4 linked regions of the Caenorhabditis elegans genome follow. The protein of the gene in region 3 purifies or fractionates together with the protein of the main gene of each other region. This does not show direct contact. Each region holds a gene or a part of one and is shown on either strand. Other genes may lie near its edges. The genes, in order: T07F12.1, dgn-1, cpg-2 and Y43F4B.10.

Region 1 (5,746 bases), on a different chromosome or scaffold from region 3:
TTTCAGCATGTCTTCCTCAAAACTTTTTTACAACTTTCAAACAGAAATCACTTCAGGCTTCTTCTTGACAACATTGCCCGAGGATACAAAGCGCTTTATGAGTTGAAAATTGTACATCGGGACATTAAACCCCAAAACATACTGATCACTTATACAGATGCATCGAAACAAATTGCTTGTGCTCGGATCACAGACTTTGGTGTGTTTTGGAACTCATTACGTAATTTAATTCATTTCTTGTTTCAGGAATTTCGAGAACCCTTGATAACGAGGGAGAAGAGCTGTGCAACGTTGCGGGTACATTTTATTACATGGCTCCAGAAGTTGGAGCGAACCTTTTAAAAACTTGTCAGTATGACTCAAAAGTTGATATGTGGAGCATCGGATGCCTTCTCTACCAATGCGTTACAGGAGAGGTTAGTCCTTCCGAACCCTAAAGTTTTTCCAAGAACAAAAACGCAAATAACTCCCCAGGGGCTTCGCAGTTGAAGTGGAAGAATGACGTAGATAACTTCATATTCACAATTTTTCTTTTGCAGGTCCCATTCGATGAGTGCAGTTTGTGTAAGCTCTTCCTGTATGTGGCAGGGGCTAACTTCGACGCCTACGACCCGCCTGAGCTGCCCGACGAGCTGAGTCAAGAGGTTTCGGGGATTATTCAATCACTGCTGCAGCTCGATACCACTCAAAGATGCACACCTACTCAGTTTTATGACAAAGCAATCAACTGGAGTCAACAAATATGTTAGCCGATCCTTTTTTTTTAAATGTTTAACCATTACAAAGAGTTATCTCATATCTCTACAAGTAGATCTATCATTGAAATATATTTGAAAAGAGAAAACAAATTTCGGGTTTCGAAGTTCACAGAATGTTAATTGATTGTCGAATAAAATGATTTATTAGTTGAAAGTATAACAATTTGAATATGAATCGAATAAAAAAACAGGAGAAAGTTGAGATCATGAACAACGTCGGTGATAAACTGAAGAAAAACCAAACTAATCAAAGGCCGGAGAACCGTCAGTTGAGACCATAGACCAAACTGACTAAATATTATAACACATCTTCAAAAAATTTTCAGACAAAATTATGGTAAATTTTCAAATTTTCCACATCGAGTCATTTCAAATATTTTTTAAAAAAGATTTTAGCATTATAAAAGCAAACTTGAAAAATATTCCCACTGGCAATAAAAAGTTAGGCTCAAAGTTAAAGACTTTCAATTTACATAAATTCGAATAAAGAACTCCCGCCAAAAATGTTAGCATTCAGAACCGTAGAAAAATTAATTCGGCTTACAAATTATCAAAAAGATTATTGAGTGGTCCTCATATTGTCTTTTCCCTCTCGTTCTCTTTTCAGCGAGGCCAAATCTTTTGTGACGAGCTGCAATGGATCAAAAGTGCGATTGTACGTGTGTGAAAACGACGGAATCGGGCTGCCCACTAGTCTCCATAATCCTTCTCGAGAGTTCACTTCTACACACGACAAGTATGGTGTGTTTTGAAGTAGGTAGTAGAAATCGTCAGTTGATCTGATATCACCGCCGACCAGCTGCCGAGTGCATGTTTCGAGTGATGCACCATGAGCCACAATGAGAATGTTTCCTGGAATATACATTTAACGTGACGTTTTATGAGATGTAGAAGCTAGAAAGTTCATAGGGTGATAGACAGGAAAATCACGAGAAATACACATTGATCACTAGTGTCAAAAAGTTGAGAAAAGAAATCACCTTCTGTGCATTCCGACAAAATTTTGTTTATAGAACCAAACGATCTTTGATAGAAATCTGCTAAGGTTTCATTCATTCGAAGCTCCTTATCCGTCCAACATGGTACATAGTTTTCTTGTACAGGGTAGCCTGAACATTTTTAGTATTGGAATTAAACGCCGAGCATACGTACCAAGCTTTTTCAAATCTTTTGGCGGAATCCAGCATGGTCTTGCGTACCTTGCAAATACCATCCACTCATAAAGCCCAGGTTCAACGGAAAACTGAATTCGCTTGTCAAGACCTAGAACATGTTTATTTTAAGTGATGTCAGTTGTCTTGCGGGAAACATCGAAACATGACGTACCCATTCCCTTCAATAGACCAACTGTTGTTTGGATGCACCTCAAAGCCGGGGAACAGAAAACATGGTTGATTTCGATTCCATTGTCACGTAATGCTCGTCCTGAAAAATTAATAGGTCTTGTTGATGAAGAACATAATAGATAATAGTTTAGACAAATTCTGACTGAAAATAAAGTTATTTTTTGAAAAAAAAAACTATTTAAAATACAGTACAGTATTAGAAATGATGTGGAAAAGAAACCAAAGAACAGTATAAGCTCTTGTTTTTACGATTTATAAAATCTTTCATAAATTTGTAATTTTAAATGTTTTTATAATTATTTTTATTTAAACGTTGTGCGAATTGAAATACATTTTCAAAAAAATACCTAAACTTTCTCGAATAACATATGTAAAAATAAATTCAAGTTTTTCAAATTTTAACTGTGTTTTTGAGCATTTAATAATGATTTGTTTTTTAATAGTTCTTATAATTATTCAATATAACCAACTAAAGCTCTTAAACAAATTCCATATTTTTCAACATTTTTCTGTACAAGACAATAGCCAAAATTCAAATGAAATGACGTTTTGTATAAGTTCGAATAAAAATGCACATTTAATGAAACTGCATTGGAATATAAAATTTGCAGAAACATGTTTTTAAAGTTGAATTTCAGAACTATGATAACTGTGAAACAAAAGGTACGCGGTCAAAAATTTTAGCTGCCGAAATTGCCGAAATTTTTCGAAACTTAAAAAATTGAATTTGGCATAATTCGCAATTGTAGTTATTTGTTAATCACTTTTTTCGGAAAACTCTTCGAGATCTTATAAAAACTAAAAATGTAAAAATTGCATACTTTCAGTAATTGTTTTTCAAAAATTGGTCATTTTGGAAATTGCTGGTTTTTTTTTGATTTTTCAGGAAATTTCAAAGATTTCTTAAACAGCCTAAATCAAATTGCTATGGCTCTAAACAATTTTCCAACTGGCAACTGGTTTAATTTCAAACAACTTAATTTGTTATGAAATTCAAAAAATAATCTATCTAAATTATTGAAATAAACTTGAAAATTGTAATTGTTATTTTTGCAAATAAATTGCAAATTTTCAGTTTACCTGTCAATTTTGATTGAAGATAACCAATTTCAGTCAACGGGGTGTCGGCAGCAAAACCTTGCCATCCATCGGCACGTTTTGGAAGAGTTCGGGGAAGATTGATGTCAAGCGGGCGATATCTACAGACTTAAACTTGTTCTAGAATGCTTAAAATAACGTTTACCTTCCTCTGCTGTCAAATGAATTGATCCAAAGTCCTGACTTGCCAAATGCAAAATCACATCTTTCACCATGACGGATAATGAACACTCTCCGCTCGGGCATTTATCTGGAATACAAACGAAATGGAAAAGTATATTTATATAATATTATTCATATGCAAAATGAAATGAAATGAAATTGAAAAGAGAAATACGATAGGAGAAACAACAGAAATAGAGATGCGCAAGCGCCTAGAGAGTGATGATTGCTGAAGAAACGTAGAGAAAGAAAGACGGAGAAAACAGTGGAATCGAACCTGAATTTGGATGCGTGCCAATAACTTTCACAAGCAAATTCTACAACCAGTATAAGACACAATTCAAACAATTGACAGAACCTCAAGGTCGATCAATAAAAATCCGTCGCACGCTCTAATTGTGAACAATAGAATTTAAACCTACATATAATAGCGCAATCAAAAACGAGTGATAAGAGACATATTTTTCCACTTTGCAACTGTCTGTCACAAAATAAAACGTAGTAGTAAAAGTAAAAGCATCAAAATTTTTGAAACGAAAAATTGGTTTGACCTCGCTAAAATGGAAAAATGGTGTGTGTTGAACAGAAACCGAAATCTAACGAGCGCAACATAATTGAGTCAAATTCAAAAGACATTTTTTTGATGGAAGTGCCAATGTGGGAAATATTTTGAATTGACTAGTTTTTAGAAATTATTTTTTGAGTTGTTTATTTCGCAAAATCACAAAATTTCAACATGTTAAACGCAAAGAAAACCGTTTTATAGTACTAAAATGAGCAAATAGTTATCAAAATATTTTTGACAAAGTTTTATTTGCATTCAGAAAGTTTGGATTCTAAAAATTTTTTTAAAAAGCCAAATTTACCAAAACTTTCACGACAAGTTTGAAAAATCTGAATATTTTTGGCAAGTTTAATTATTATTTGATTGGAAATGTTTTTTAAATTAATTAATTAAATAAGGTTTTACGAAACTTTTCTTTCACAAAAATTATATAGGGTGCAACTAATATCTTCAACCTATTTCGTTTGCGAAAAAGTTGCGCAATTTTTATCTATTTATGAATGCTGAGCAAGGCAAACTTTGAAAAAAAATATTTAAGTGGGAAATTATTTTTACTCTGTCGAAAATAACTATTTTAAAAATGTAAACTATTCAAGAAAAGTAAAAGTTATCAGATGGGAACACAATTAACTTTTATTTCCGTATTTTTTCCTTATATATGAATTCTCGTAATAATTAGCGCACTGTCTTGGTAATTCAGCGTTTTGAGCTCTAATAACTTTGTAATTTTTTTTTTAATACTGTGTGCGTTAATTCAAAATTTGTGAAATTTTCCGACTTTTGTTCAGTTAAAAATATTATCAACAAACGCAAAAAGAATCAAATTTTAGGGCTTTAGGGCAAAATCAGGTTTTCCAGAAAAGCGTCTGAAAAATTTGCAAAGCCCGTTTCACATAGAAATTAAAAAAAACTCAGAAAACAACTAACATAACTAAAAAAAACTAAAGTAAAATCCCAATGCAGCACTGTTAAAAGAAATACGATTTGAAATCTCGGTGACTCATTGTCAAAAACCGTTTTCTATGTCACTAACTATGGATGATGGATATATAAAGCAGTGAGAGGAAACGGAAGAAAAAGACAATGAAAGCGGTCGACTTGCTGAGTTTTATTTGCCTAAAGAATTAAAAACTTTCTCTAGTGCTTGTGGTGCTCCATAGCCACACCGCATTTGACAAATGACAAAAAGTGAAAAGAGCATAGGACACTGGTGTTCCATTTTCTCATATCTACACCATTTCAAAACATACATATTGAAAAATTCATTGTAATGGCAACTTTGTCATAGACAACGGGAATGGGAAAAACCAATGGGGAGGAATAACCCGTGGGCGATACGGAATCCAATGTCTCGGGAGGATAAGTATGTGAAAGAGAAATAACGAAATATTAATATTAGGTTACAACCAGATTTTTGATGTGAAGAAAAAAAAATAAAAAAAAGAATATGCAAAAATGACATGTAAATGAGGAAAGCTGAGACAGAATGGGGACACCGTAGGCAAAACGTCGGAAATCACAACACAAAATTAGAAAGAACCGAAATGATAATTGAACTGTCACTATTAAAGCTTTGAGAGGATTCATTTAGAAGTAATGGTCCTCATCTGGCCAAATCTCCCATGGAGCCTTCTTCTGGTGATGAACCCATGGTGCATAGTTCCTCTCGACTGGAATGTCCAACTTGATGGTTCCTCCCTCTTCGAGGTGGTCACGGAAGTAGCGTCTGAAAAATGATATAAATTGTTCTTCACAGAGCCTAGTGCAGGTAACAGAACATTTTCAACCAAAGAATAGTACTTATAATTTTTATACAC
Region 2 (5,732 bases), on a different chromosome or scaffold from region 3:
GTAATACCGACTGAGGCTGTTCAGATATGCCTAACAATGCCCTCACGACATTTTCGAGATCGCATAATTGTCGTCGAGAGCGGTAATCCTGGGAATCTGTGGGACATACGGAAGGTAAAAAGATTGAAGACGTGAGACGAGATGGTGACACAAGAAAGAGAAAAATGAGAGCAGGTGTACATTTGACTGACACTAGTGCTCCGTTGACAACCTGTGACTGAGGATTACCTTATTTCACAAAAAGAACACACAAAAACCCAGTGAGAAATGATCGTCTCAGTTCATTGTTCTGACACCTTTCCGTGCGCGAAATTGGTTGGATTAACGTCCAGTGAGGAACGTATTGAAGATGAAACGAACGTGCTAATTAAATGAACGATGAGGATGATGATGGGTGCCGTTTGCCATCTATTAGGCATGGATTACCTGGCTTAACGTTCTCGAATTGCTTGAATCGACAGCCACTGTGCAAAGGGTAATTGTATACACTTCTAACACGGGAACACCGGAGACAAAACGTACTGCTAAAACTGAGACTAACACGCCTATTGTTCTGGTTTCGTACTTCGACTGCTAGTAGTCAGCGCGTTCGTCTCATTCTCATTGTCCGGATCCCCATGTTGACAGGAACCAAAAGTATTAGACTTTTGTTTTTTAATAAAAAAATGAAACGGTAAATCATGAATCATTCCTCAAATATTTTTCAGCCACCAGCTTCCATTAAGTCAATTTTGACAATTTTTCCAAAAAAATATTTGGTGTAAGAGCAAAAAAAAAGAAAGTGATATCACAAGAGATTAATTGAAAAATTCCTGAAGCACACTCCTGTGAACAAGCTAAAGTTTTTTGGTCGCTCACAATGAAGCGGACATAAATCATTATCAGACTAGAGGATTAAAAGTTTGTAATGTTGCGGTAAAATCTTTAAACTATATAAGCATAATCAGAGAAGTGCAAATTTAGTTAATTCAAAATGTTAGATCATAAATTCAGTTATTCAATGTGACCGTATTCATATTAATTTGGAGCCGATTTTCTCATAAGCTGTTGAAAATATCTATTCACCACCGGGCAGATCGTAAACCATCTGATTGAATACAGATTTCCTTATGTAATCTATCCGTATTGTGCAATACTTTTGACGCGACAACGAGGGCAAGAAATGGCACTGTGTGCAGCTGCGCGCGTTGAAGCAGATGCTTGTAACGACATAAAAGAGCTCCTGCGTTGAAGAGATGGCACACAAATGGGGGCACGATTCCATCACATATCATCAAATTGAGAAGAGTCAAGGAATGGACAAGGACGTTTGGACAGAAATCAGATTTGGATAGCGTAGATTTCGAGTAAAAAACCCCGCGTCAAAAAAGTTTCCTCAGCAAAAAAGAGAAAGTTGTGCGTATGGGTAGGGTCAAGCACGAGGCAAGCCCTGTTGACCAAACATATAAAGTGAGAGGCGAAAAATGTGGGGAAGGACGGAGATGGTCCTATTTGGTCGGCTCAACCTCATAAAGTTGCGTCACCGTACCTGTGGCCAGGTGTGTGCAGGATGGAGCAAACGAGGAGGCAACGATTGGAAGATAAGCCTAATGACTGGGTGTTCAGACGTACAATGCGGGTCCGTTTGGAACAATTACAATTTTTCTTGGTCAATTCAAGACGGATGGTGATATTTATAAGGATGAAAGAAGAACGGATGACGAGAGCTAATCAGAAATGGACATGCGATACGTTACGGCTACGAAGAGAGAGGAGGAGGAAAATGGCATGCAACATTTGAGCAGTCTAATAAAGCCGAACACAGATGAAGAACGAAGCGGTGGCCAATATTCAATCTGCATAATAAATAAGCGATCCGTACAAACAAAGACGTTTCCTTCGTGGTCTTCCGTCCTTCCGACACTCCCTACGGACCATGAACCGACCGACATAAGAAGGCCAGCTCCCACGGGAGCTTTTGGTATGGTGTCTCGAATGAATTTTGCATATAAATAGAAGAAACCGACCGAAACATATTGAAAACGGAGATTCGATTTATTTTCCATCTTATCTTTTATTGAGTCAGTTCAGAGGGGTTTCAATTGTCACTTTGACACCTTATTAGCAACCGAACAAAGAGTGCCGGATTTGCTAAGTGAGTGTAAAAACAAGATTATAAAAACAGTGGGCCTTCTTATTCTAGTCTTTTGAATGTTTTGATTGACGTAAGATCTTGGGCCACTTTGTTTCTTTTGAGAATTGCGAAGACGAACATTGTTGAGTAAAATTTAGTAGGGACGAAATTTTTTGAGAATAACAAAACATTTTATGTGCGCCAAAACTTTTTTCGATTTTTTGGTTCTTCAAAAAACTGAAAAACGGAAATTTTCGCTTTTGAGAAAACTGCAAAAACAAATTCTGAAAACACTCCAAAATCGGTATTTTTATACAGAATGCAATATTTTTATTACTGATGACGCCCTATTTCATACAAACAACATACATAAATTGCACTTTTTCAAACTGGACCCTAATTTTTTTTCGATTTTTTGGGTTTTTCGGCTTTTTGACCCACACCGCAAAATTGAAAAACCGAAAAACGTGAAGAACGGAAAACAACATTTTTTGTTAAGATTTAGGTTATTTAGAGAAAAAACTCGGTTTTTCGAAAAAAAAAAACTAGCAGACAATTCATATAATACCTAAAAACCAGGATGTTTTCGAGTTAAGTGAATGTTTCAAAATAAGGACGTCACTCTGAAGTCGTACGAAAATTTTTTTTGAAACACCTATCTCTGTACACATATGAGTAGTCACAACATTTGTGGCTTCGTACACCTTTGAAGTGTTTTTGAATGCACAAACATGACGCCGCTTTTTTTGGATTTGTGCCAAGAAGCAGAATAAGTTTTTCAGGCAAATACAAAAGAAAACATCTCGTTTTCTGTGTACAAAACTACATATATCAGGAAACGAGATTTAGTAAAACATTTTATAAGACTAAAAGAATTGTTTAGTTACATAGGAAAATTTTTTTAATGCCTCGAAAAACTTCCGGGCACGCGTTCGAAACTGGCATTAAAAAAAGTCTCACCTCTATGTGTTTATCAATAAGCCGGGACTAAAAAATGGGTGCGCCAAATTGAAATTTCGTTTTCGATTCTAATCACAAGTTCGGTTCAATACACGTTGTCGTTCTGAAAATCGAAAGTAACTTTTGCAACATATACGTTCAAGACATGAAATGGAGCGGAAAACTTCAAAAAGGGGTGTCCTTTTGAAACTTGGCAAAAAGCGATTTGTATCAGTTGACAGACTAATTTACGATAATGTACATATTGAAGAAACTTTCAAATTGGAACTTCTGAGATCTGATGAATATAGGTTTTTCAAAAAAGAATAAAAAAGCTAGCAATGTGTATAGTTTTGATGTGAAAATAAATATCGTAAGAGAAAAAGAAACACTGTCAGTTGCATACCTCATAAATATAATCAAGGAGGTATTGAAATTGCCGAAAAAACGGTTATCAGAGGAAAGAGATAGCAAGTACGAAATGAAGAATGCAACCTGGAAAATTCGCTTTCTCTTTTGTTGCATCCCTCCTTGTTGATAACACACTATGAATGTGGTTTTGACAAGAAAAACATACGCACACAGTTTGAAGCATTTTTTTTTCTTGTCACCAACCATTCGGATGAATTATACCCGAAAATGTGTGTACACTCGTTGGAGGATAGGGGAAAAAGAGAAAATGGTCAAGGTAGGTAAACAGAAAGCTTTCATAAACGTTTTTCTTACCATTTTTTTGCCTTTTCTTGGGCATAAAAGTTAGAGTTACTACAATGAATGTCAGTGTGGTTTGTACTATTTTCTGCATACGCAGAGGGAAATCAAAAATATCAATAGAGCGAAGAAAAGCGGTGAGTTTCAAAAAGGCTCTTCCCATGAAATATAACCCCCATTGTAATTAAAATTCTGAAAAAAAAACCAGAGTGCAATGAGTTTTTGAATGCGCCGTCTATATGCGTGGCAAGGGAATACAGCTATTTTCATTTTATCATATGTATATTTTCATATCTATATGAAGTTTGCAAATATATAAAACAAATTTTTTACTAATTTCGAAGAGCACATTTAAAAAAGTTGAAATTTAAACGAAGATATTAGATTGCAAATATCAATCTGTAGTTTTGTTTGATTTTGAAGTTATTCAAAACATAAAACGGTAATGGATTTTCAAAAGAAATAAAATAGAGTCTAACAAAACAGAAAATTAGGATTTCCAACAATTTTTGCTTTTGATAAGACACGCTAGATGTTGTTGATCATAAAGCCACGGTAATCATTGTCCTGGCCAAATGTAGAACTAATTAAATTTTGCGACAAAGTCCCTGTTGTCATAAAAATGTGATTTTTCCAGTCCTACGTTATTTAGAATTTAACACGATCCGTCCTGCTATTCAAGGAAAAATAAAATCAGGGCGTTTCTTGTTAGTGGTTTCTCGGTATGTGTGTCCAATACACTAATTACTCGATGGTGATTGAAATCAAATATCAAGACAGGAAAGAGGACACGAGTAACTGATAAAGGTCAAATGCACATTAAACTTAACGCACAAAAAGTTAGGCAATGTCGTAGAAAGTGGTGTGTGAGGAGATAGAATGGTGAGTCAGGAACGGTAGAGGGTTTTCTATTCGAAAGAATAAAAATCTGTTTTCTAGTAAAATTGAAAAGAGTGAGAGATTGAGAGAAAAATAATGGAATAAAATCGGAATGGTGTTTACATCATTTCCATATTAAAATTTTGAATTGGAAATTTAAAATACAAACTACTGGTACATATAGGAATATGAGATACTTTGAATTTTCAAATTTACAGTTTAGATATAACTGCATAATAATACCTTTTGAAAAAGATTCTTATACTTCTTCAAGGTCATCAATTAACAGAAACAAAACAAAAAAAAAGATTGCGTGGTTCAAAGATATAGTTTCATATTTCTTGCAATTGCATTCAAAAAGCAAGCAAAATGACCTTCCGAGTGAAGCGAGTAAAAAACGAGGACCAAGCCAGTTTGACCAAATGTCTCACTATTATATGATCCGATTCGTAGACTGCAACGATGAGAATAATAATTGTAGAGTATCAAATGAATAGTGGGGCAATTTTGAAAGAAGAAAAGTGGAATGAGAGGAAAATAGCCAATGGTCACAATGGCTAAAAACGACCACATGAGGCTCACGTCCCTGTATTGACCACTAATGAAGATAATTTAAGTGAAACGTTTAAATAATATGATTTGGTCGGTTCACAATAATAAAAAATTAATTTCTCGTTGTATTTAGTTAACTAATGGAATTACGCTCATAATTTTTCCGATCCTGCGGAACTTCAGATAAATAATTTTTTGTCATATTATGACATGTGCATGCAGTACAGAATAAAAATGCAAGATTATTACAATTTGGCAATTTGTTTCGAATATTTACTTCACTGGAGAAGTATGTTGTTCAATTACTACTAATTATCAAAATTAAAACATTCTTAGGAAACGAAAAATTGACTACCAAAAATAATAATGAACTAAGAAAATTTTTGAAAACAATGAGCTATATCCATATCCATCGGAGCCAATGTTGACACTACAACCTGTCGAGAAAACAAAGTGAAAAGTGGATATGCATGCAGGAGGTGTCCGGTTTCGAAACCGATTGAATTATCCTAATGAATTTGGCAGCGAAATACAATAA
Region 3 (4,957 bases):
TGAAGCCAATCTTATTTTGAAACATTCGTTTTTCACATTATCAATTGTATTTATGGCTGGACGATCTTATTTCGATAAAAAAGAATTTATGGTTTTTCCTGGAAAAGTGGATGTTTTTCCCGAAGAGATTTCCGATCAATATCCTCTTGATCTTTTGAATAGAATACGATGCCGTCTTATTTCAAAGTTTATTGAACTTCGAATCACAACCGAGGAGTTTTTATTGATGGTTATTACGTATTTCTGTCAAATATGTAAGTTACATAACACTTTTCAATATTATTCAGACACGAAATATTCCGATTTTGTGCCAAATAAACTATGTCTGGTCTCGTTACGACAAATTTTGTATAAAATTCAAAACGGTGTGTGTCTTTAGAGTATTGTAATTTCAAACTTTTGATGCTGCAGAATTTTCATAGATTTTTCCTATTTTTACAATAAAAATATGTTTTTGAAAACTCAAATCTAACAATAAAAACATATACACTTTAACAAAAGGGAAAGAAAATATTTTCTAGAAAACAATACAAAATCAATAAAAACTCCGCAGCAATAAACGGTTGAAATTACAGTACCTCTTTAAAGGCACACACCTGATATTCGTGGCGATATCCTAATAAATATAATAAATACAGTATAAGTGTAAAAGTGTAGGAGCGTGTCGAGACTATTCCGCATAAAAGCGTCCCCTTTAAAGTCGTAGAAGTGAAAAAAACGCAGTAATCTAATAAATAAATTACCCTTACAACTAGTACTCTGTATTTAACCATAAACGTCAATATTTTTCAGCTTCTATGCTTGTTGGTTCCTCTGCGAAACGAATTATTGAGGAGTATCTGAGCATCTACCTGTCTACACTTGGTATTAACTGTAACTTCCGTTTTCAAAAACACGGACGAATAAGATACTTAAATATTATATTTCTGAGTCAGCTGATCGAGAAAACAATAGAAGATCTTGCACAACTGTTTACATTATTCCAATTGAACCAACCCACTTTGCCATTGAGAAAGCTTGTCAAAGAATCTCTCTAAAGCTAGAGTGGCACTTTTTCATCTAAAACTATCCCACGTGGGTACCCACCCCTTTTCAAACTTGCATTGTTATTCATTCAACCCTCAAACTTTTCCTCGAGTAATAAAAGATCATCTACAGTAATCACCCAGCATCTCATGAAAGCCAAAAAATTAAGATTCAGAGTTCTAGTCAGGCAGTTTCATTTCTCAATATGAAAAATGCAATATATACAGGCAAGTTTACAATAATATGGGGCCTCTATGGGGGCAATAGTTTTTCACGGGGTTAGTCAATTAGTGTGTAATTTTGTAAAAAAAATGGGTACAATTAATGGCATTGAAGCAGGGTCGATGAGTCGACGCACTCGGTGTTGGCAGCTGAGAAGACGGCGTTGCTCGCGGCACAAGTGAAGTTAATGAGTTGTCCGGCAGTGCACTGATGATAAGTGGCAGAGCAAAGGCCATCGGAGAAGAGGCCGTCAGTGGAACAGTCGAATGCAGCAATTGGAGTCTCATCAATGAGAATAGTGTCTGAAATAAACATTTAGGGTTGCTAATTTATGAGACAAATTCACCTTCGATGAGGCATTTCAACGATGTTTGTGGGTAATCGCAGATCAAAGATTGATCGTTGAAAACCAGGCTGGATGGGCACTCGAAGATATCAACGTGTCCATTCTGGCAAGAGAGAACACGTGGAGAGCATCCGATAGCATGAAGTCCATTGTCCAGTCCAACGCATTGATTTTGCTCTTCCACACCGGATCCCTCTCCTGAGCTTTCACCAGAGGCCTCACCAGAAGCCTCTCCAGATCCTTCTCCAGATTGTTCACCGGAAGCTTCTCCAGATTCTGAAAAAAGATAATAAAATTTTGAAACTGTAAAAAACGATCGTACCTTCACCCGACGTCTCTTGGCATTCGGAAACATTGGACTCGTAGTCGCAACGTACGGTAGACTCGGAGAACTTGAGTCCTGCTGGACAGAACATGACGATGGCACGGCCGTTAGTGCAAGCAGTGAATGACGATGAGCATTGTCCGAATGAGAAGTATCCGTCCTCTTCGCATGTTGGCTGTGGAGTTGGAAGTCCAGCGCATTCAGCGACGTCCCGTGGCCAGTCACAAACAAGAATTGTTGGATTGAAGACGAGAGAAGCTGGGCAGTCCATGATGCGAGCAATTCCACCAGAGCAAGTGAGGAAGTTGGTTGAGCAAACTCCATTTGGATGGATTCCGTCAGCTTTTCCTTCGCATGTTGGCTCGAGTTCGCCACTTCCTTCCCCAGAAGCTTCACCTGATCCTTGCCCAGAAGATTCTCCAGATGCTTCACCTGATCCTTCCCCGGAAGCTTCTCCAGAAGCCTCTCCAGATCCTTCACCAGAAGTCTCCCCTGATCCATCGGTGATGGTCAGGTCTTCCTTGCATTCCTCGACAAGAGACTTCCAGATGCACTTCTGAGAATCAGCATCGTAGAAGAGTGGAGTTGGGCAACTGAGGAAACGGGCCGTGTTTGTTGTACAGAAGAAGTAGTAAGTGGTACAACCACCTGATGAGTAGGCCCCGTCTTCGAGATTCTCACAAACTGAAAAAAACATTTTATCGATGAATGATTTGAATTAACTTACCATTTTCGACTGTCTCCTCTCCGGATCCTGAACCCTCTCCAGAAGCTTCACCAGATCCTTCTCCAGATGCTTCGCCGGATCCTTCCCCAGATGCTTCACCGGATCCTTCTCCAGACGCCTCACCGGAAGATTCACCAGATCCTTCACCTGAGGTCTCACCAGATGATTCTCCAGATCCTTCGCAACCAATCACGTTGTGGCGCCAGTCGCAGATAAGAAGTGGCTCGTTGTAGATGAGATCAGCTGGGCAATCCATGATTCTTGCGATACCTCCCGAGCAAGTCAGAAATTGTGGTTCGCATTCACCAAGAGCGTAAAGACCATCGAGAGCGTTTGTACAGTCTGAATTGTCAATGTTAAAAAAGCATCTGGACAAAACTCGCACCTTGAAGGAACTGTCCATTGGCAGCTGTGGCAAAAGCCAGGAGTGTGAGTGCGGCAACCGTCTTCATCCTCCTGAAATAAAGATCTTTAAGAAAAGAGAACAAGAGTTGAATTTTTAAAAACGGTAGTGTCAGAAATAAAAGAAAATACTAAACTACTTTGCATGCACGATATTCTCTCACAAGAATAATCGTATGACAAAGAAACCAACTGAAACAAATGAAATGAATGACTAATGCTGGATAATTTCGAAACCATTGGCAAACAAATAAAAACAAAACAAAACAAAAATTTGAATTTTCCCGCCGGAGGTCAAAAAATGCTAAAACAGATCAAAATATGAGAAAATAGGAAGAATACAAGCCTAGTATCATGTTTTCAAAATTACAAAACTGAAAAATGAGCACTGGAGCGCGTTTGTTTGCGCTTCAAAAATTGACGCGCGAAATTTGAAATTTGATTGTTTTTTGTTTTTAGTGCAATTTTTAACTTTCAGGTGTTCAAATTTCACATCAATCTGTTAAAATTAACATTAAATATTTAATTTTAATTAGATGTCCAAACTTCCAAGGAATTTTCTCTTATCAGCAATCGACTTCATTACCCCACTGAAAAAAAAGTTTTCGCGAACAAGTAATACATGCATTTTTCACAAAAAAAACACCCGTTTCGTGTGAAAAGTATACTAATGTTGCGTGACAATAAAAATTGATAACTATATAAAATTATTCCAGATATTTTCAGCTTTTGATTATAATTTCTTCACAGAAGTTTTGGGAGCTCATATCTGATTTTGAACAAGCGAGTTATTTTTTTGGCTTTTTTCTTTAAATTAAAGAAAATAGGTCAATCTCCGAACATTACTGTTAAAAATTTACAAAAGTTTTAATATTTTCTAATTTTTTTTCAATTGTTCAAAAAAACTCAAATGCCCTTCTAGGCCACGCCCACTTTTTTGTAGTTTTCTGGTTTTCAGCAAAATTGCACTGTTTTTTTTTCGAATTTCTTTTTATTATATGTGAATTGACAATTCCCCGCAATTTTAAAGTAAATTTCGTAAGCCGACGAGAGAGATGACCTTCTGGATACTTTTTGATACAGTAACCCACATCGAGAGTTTTCCTCTGTTTCTCTGTATATGCTCACATTCGATTTATCCCCTTAGTTTCCTTCCGTTTCATAGTAATTTTCAATTTCGAAAAACACAAAAAAAGTTATAATAAAAATTCTCTCTCGATTAGGTTCACCTTATAAAGACCGTGTACCCATTCAGAGGCGCAGAGATCTGCAGGTGCGCATTTCCTTTTTATGAGCTTGGGAATGAACGAACTGCTCAATTTGCCCCTCACTCGTCCCAGCTACTATTTACCACTTTTGCACATTCTGTCATTCTTTGGATAACAGTATCATTTGGGGACATGGAGTGGCAATATACAGTTCTATTTAATATCAGGTTGTCCCATAAGTTTTTGTACTATTTTTTTTTTGAAAAAAATTTATTTCTCTCAAGCGACAAGTAGTACTATTCACACAAGTATTCACCATTAGTGTCCACCACTTGTTGCCATTTACTAGGTAACATCATGATGCCACGGGAGAAGAAATCCGGCGAACGCGATGAGAAGAAAGTGGAGAGTTCAGTTTTGAGATGCTCTTCGTCGTCGAATTGCTTGTCGCGCATGTAGTCACTGAGAGACAAGAACAAATGGTAGTCGGTTGGTGCAAGATCTGGAGAATATGGTGGATGCGGTAAAACAGTCCAACCAAGATCTTGCAGCTTTTGGAAAGTCTTCTTGGCGACATGAGGCCTAGCATTATCGTGAAGAAAATATAGTTTTTCATATTTTCCGTTGGTCTTTTCTGCAACTCGGTCCAATTGGGCACAATAGTAATCAGCAGTGATAGTTTTATTAGTTGGCAACAATTC
Region 4 (3,624 bases), 6.2 Mb from region 3:
GCCCATGGCGCCCTTCTGGTGGTGCTTTGCACCACTACTACTATAATACCGGCGAGATCACAGTACTTTGTTGTCAGTTGTAATAGTGAGGGAAGAATCCGAAAGTCCCAAATCCAAAAGCATATCCGACGATACAGGTGTAGTTTCGGATGATACAGGTTCTGAAAATCGTCCTGCTCATTTGAAATCTCAGGCACAATTCAAACCTTCAATTTTCTGAACCACTAGTGATCCATCGGTTAGCGCTGCAACTATCGTCGACGGATTTCGGAAATCGAATCGAAACACTCCAGCAGAAGTGCTAATCTCATTTTCCAACTGTAGCCCGTCGGCTTCATCAATCTTCAAAATGCACAGTGAGCCGGATCGAGTGTCTGAAGATGTATCGAGAAGATACGTGGATACGCAAGCACGTGATGTGTCCTCTGATGGTATCCGACGAGCAAATGCTGGGCGATTTGACAGCTTCACACTTTTTGATCGCATTTAAATGAGCTCAAAAAATTTGTAATTTTGAAAATTTACTAAAAATGCGGTTTTCAAACGTAAAATGTTTCAATTTTTCGTCAAAAATACGGTGTCCGGTCTCGACACGAAACAATTTGTTGTTAAATGCGAAAAGGTGTGCGCTTTTAAAGAGTACTGTAATTCCAAAATTTTTCGTGATGTGGAATTTTCATCGAATTTTCAGTTTTTTAGAAATAAAGTATTATTTTAACGAATAACGTTAAGAAATCGATAAAAATTTTACAAAAACCAAAGTTTGAAATTACAGTACTCTTTAAAGGCGCACACTAGTTTGTATTTAACCAAAAAATTGTCGTGTCGAGACCAAATACCGCCGTTTTGGCTCCAAAACCGCCAAATTTCGAGTCTATACATTGGTGAACTATTGAGATTGGAATAAGACACATATTCATGGAAAAAATATTGGGAATAATTTAAAACCCATGAGGATCGTGATGGAAATTATAGCAAAAAAATTAAAGTTTCCAGTTTGCAGGAATGGTAAAAATAAATACAATTTGAAATACATATATAAAAAAGCAAGATTAATTCTTCGAGGCGGCCTCCGATGATGTCTCTTCAGGCTTCGGAGTCTCTGATTTCTGCGCAACTCTTTGTGCTTCGATCGCAGCGTCTGCCTTTTTTTTGTCTGTTTCGGCCTCTTGTTGACACGCTCTGCAAATGATTTTTTTTCTCTCAATTGATTTCTCGATTATGACGATCAAATATTTGATCGACACTTATAATTCGAGTGGAAAATCGACGAAAAAACTCAAAAACCTACCTAATCAGAACTTTTGCCGCTTGAATATTCCTCTTCAACCGTTCACAGGTCAACTTATTGAATGTATATGTTGGACGAACGTCTTTCCCGATTTCTTCGATCAACTTGAGCAGAACTTCGTAATAAGGAGTGCCTTCTTGCATCTGAAATCATTATTTTTTCAATTAAAATTGTATATTTAGATTTTTTTTTAAATATTTTACCTGAAGATTCGGCACAATTGAGATAAGCGTTTGAAGATCTTCTTGTGTCGCCATTTTTCTAAAACAAAATAGGTTGAATGAATTACTGCGAGAAATCAATAAAAATACAGAGAACGGGAACACCACCGTTCTCTGCGTCTCTTTTCAAAACACGTTTCAATGGAGCACATTTGCTTTAGGATTTTGGCGGTTATTTTTACGATATTTTTTTTTGAGAAATCGAAAAACCAAACAATTTTGTTTTGTCGAAATTTTGAAAAAAAAAAGGATTTTTGGAAAAATATAATTTTCCTCTTTTTAGAGAAAAACTATCTGTTTCTTATGATTTGTTCTCATTAACATAAATAAAATTTGATAAAAAATAGTTTTTTTTGTTAATTTTCTAAACATTTTTCCAATTTTTCGGTTTTCCCGGTCTCGCCACGGCAAATATTGGTTAAATGCGGAAAAGGTGTGCGCCTTTAAAGAGTACTGTAATTTCAAACTTTTGTTGAAACGTACGGAATTTCATGATTTGCAGCAACACAAGTTTGAAACTACAGTACTCTTTAAAGGTGCACGCCCGTTTGTATTTAACAAAATATTGTCGTTGTGAGACCGGGTACCGTATTTTTAGTGTGAAAATTGCAAAATTTTGCGGCTGGGTAATATAAAATTGAATCGAGATATTTAAATAAATTGGTTAAAATTGATACCACATTTAAATAATATTTCAAAAAATTCGATAAAAAATATTCACAGAAGCTCGAATTTTATTAACAAAATAAATAGTACATGTTATTCGGGAATGAAACGAAAATGAAAAAAAAATGCCGCAAAAATATGAAAAAATCATCATCACAAATTGAACAACCGACAAGGAAGGACACGAAATATACAAAAAAAAATTCCAAAAAATTCCATAAAGGTGCAATAAAATTCTGGGAATTTCCAGCTAAAACGCTGAAAATATTTAAATATTATAGATATTTAAATCTATGCAAAAGTTTTTGCAATTTCGATAAGTGCACTATAGGTTCCCGTTGTGAATCCAATAAAGGCAAAAGTGAGAAGAACGATATTTTTGATCCATAATCCAGTGCTCAACTCGTTTTTCGCGTAGGATGTCTGAAAAAAATTCAATTTTTTTCATTTTTAATTAATTTAAAAAAATTGGAATTCAAAAATTCCTACCAAAAGTTCAATGCACGGAGGGAAGAGAAGAGCCATTGAAGCTCCAGAAAATGCTCCGATTAATGAGATGAAAAGAGCCAAATGAGGAATAAGCTCAGCTATTGCACCTGGAAATTTTTTTTCAAAAAATTAGAAAAAATCAGTTTTTTTCTAAATTTTTATATAATTTTTTTCTCGTCTAAATTAATTATTTGATATCAACCTGAAAAAAAACCTTTGATTTTTATGTGCAATTTTTATAGTATATTTCCAAAATGTCTCAGAAAAAGTCTGGATTTACCGAAATTCTCTCAATTTTTATTTCATTATCGATTTGAAACACAATTTTCTGCGAAAAAAGTTTAAATAAATGTATAATTATCGATTTTTAGACCAATTATTTTATTTTTTTGATCAAAAATGTCAGAAAAAGTCTCAATTTACCAAATATAACTGTTTAAAAATTTATTAAAATTTTCTAAATTTGTTATGATTTTTTTCTAAACTTATTATTTGATTATTATTTTTGAAACACAATTTTTCCGCAACAAAAAAACTTAAATTATCGATATTTAGGTCAATTTTAGATTTTTTTAAACGGAAAATGAAAAAAAAAATAATTTTTGCGAATAATATTTTTTTTTTGAAACTTACAAGTCAAAATAACTCCGGAATATCTGGCAATGTAGATGTACAATGTTTGTTTATCGACGGGAATCTGAAATTTTGAAGAATTTTGACCAATTTTCATGGAAATTTCTCCAAAAAACCTTTCTAGTAATCCATTTTTCGATTCTTTCCATTGGCACATAGAATTGAAGAGGATAGGAGATCATGATGCACGCCACAAACATTAATTTTATCGTTTGATAGAATCTGAAATTGAATTTTTTTAAAATTATTCTGATTTAAAAAAAAAAAAATTTTTTCATTATTTATTTTTTTTTTTGACATATTTTTTATTGATGGCCCCCAGTT

The links.
Region 1: the proteins of cpg-2 (region 3) and T07F12.1 fractionate together in Caenorhabditis elegans (co-fractionation; one large-scale study listed by BioGRID). This does not show direct contact.
Region 2: the proteins of cpg-2 (region 3) and dgn-1 fractionate together in Caenorhabditis elegans (co-fractionation; one large-scale study listed by BioGRID). This does not show direct contact.
Region 4: the proteins of cpg-2 (region 3) and Y43F4B.10 fractionate together in Caenorhabditis elegans (co-fractionation; one large-scale study listed by BioGRID). This does not show direct contact.

The regions. Positions count from the first base shown.
Region 1 is NC_003284.9:4,891,763-4,897,508, reverse strand, and holds T07F12.1 (Steroid-phosphate phosphatase), read right to left. Parts: upstream 3,455-5,746; 5' UTR 3,449-3,454; coding exon 3,348-3,448; intron 3,304-3,347; coding exon 3,185-3,303; intron 2,184-3,184; coding exon 2,085-2,183; intron 2,022-2,084; coding exon 1,911-2,021; intron 1,868-1,910; coding exon 1,739-1,867; intron 1,611-1,738; coding exon 1,318-1,610; 3' UTR 878-1,317; downstream 1-877. Other genes in the region: T07F12.4 (Protein kinase domain-containing protein), read left to right, coding at 57-199, 247-416, 540-749; T07F12.2 (PA domain-containing protein), read right to left, coding at 5,517-5,655.
Region 2 is NC_003284.9:10,925,823-10,931,554, forward strand, and holds the start of dgn-1 (Dystroglycan 1), read right to left. Parts: upstream 3,177-5,732; 5' UTR 3,074-3,176; intron 1,998-3,073; exon of another isoform or gene 1,793-1,997; intron 1-1,792.
Region 3 is NC_003281.10:7,100,889-7,105,845, forward strand, and holds cpg-2 (Chondroitin proteoglycan-2), read right to left. Parts: upstream 3,103-4,957; 5' UTR 3,099-3,102; coding exon 3,032-3,098; intron 2,989-3,031; coding exon 2,647-2,988; intron 2,604-2,646; coding exon 1,917-2,603; intron 1,871-1,916; coding exon 1,595-1,870; intron 1,551-1,594; coding exon 1,348-1,550; 3' UTR 1,202-1,347; downstream 1-1,201. Other genes in the region: ZK418.11 (NR LBD domain-containing protein), read left to right, coding at 1-254, 793-1,037.
Region 4 is NC_003281.10:13,311,996-13,315,619, reverse strand, and holds Y43F4B.10 (uncharacterized protein), read right to left. Parts: upstream 1,553-3,624; 5' UTR 1,549-1,552; coding exon 1,495-1,548; intron 1,435-1,494; coding exon 1,292-1,434; intron 1,183-1,291; coding exon 1,053-1,182; 3' UTR 899-1,052; downstream 1-898. Other genes in the region: dph-7 (methylated diphthine methylhydrolase), read right to left, coding at 67-161, 207-486; slc-36.1 (Amino acid transporter transmembrane domain-containing protein), read right to left, coding at 2,470-2,601, 2,668-2,774, 3,301-3,364, 3,417-3,522.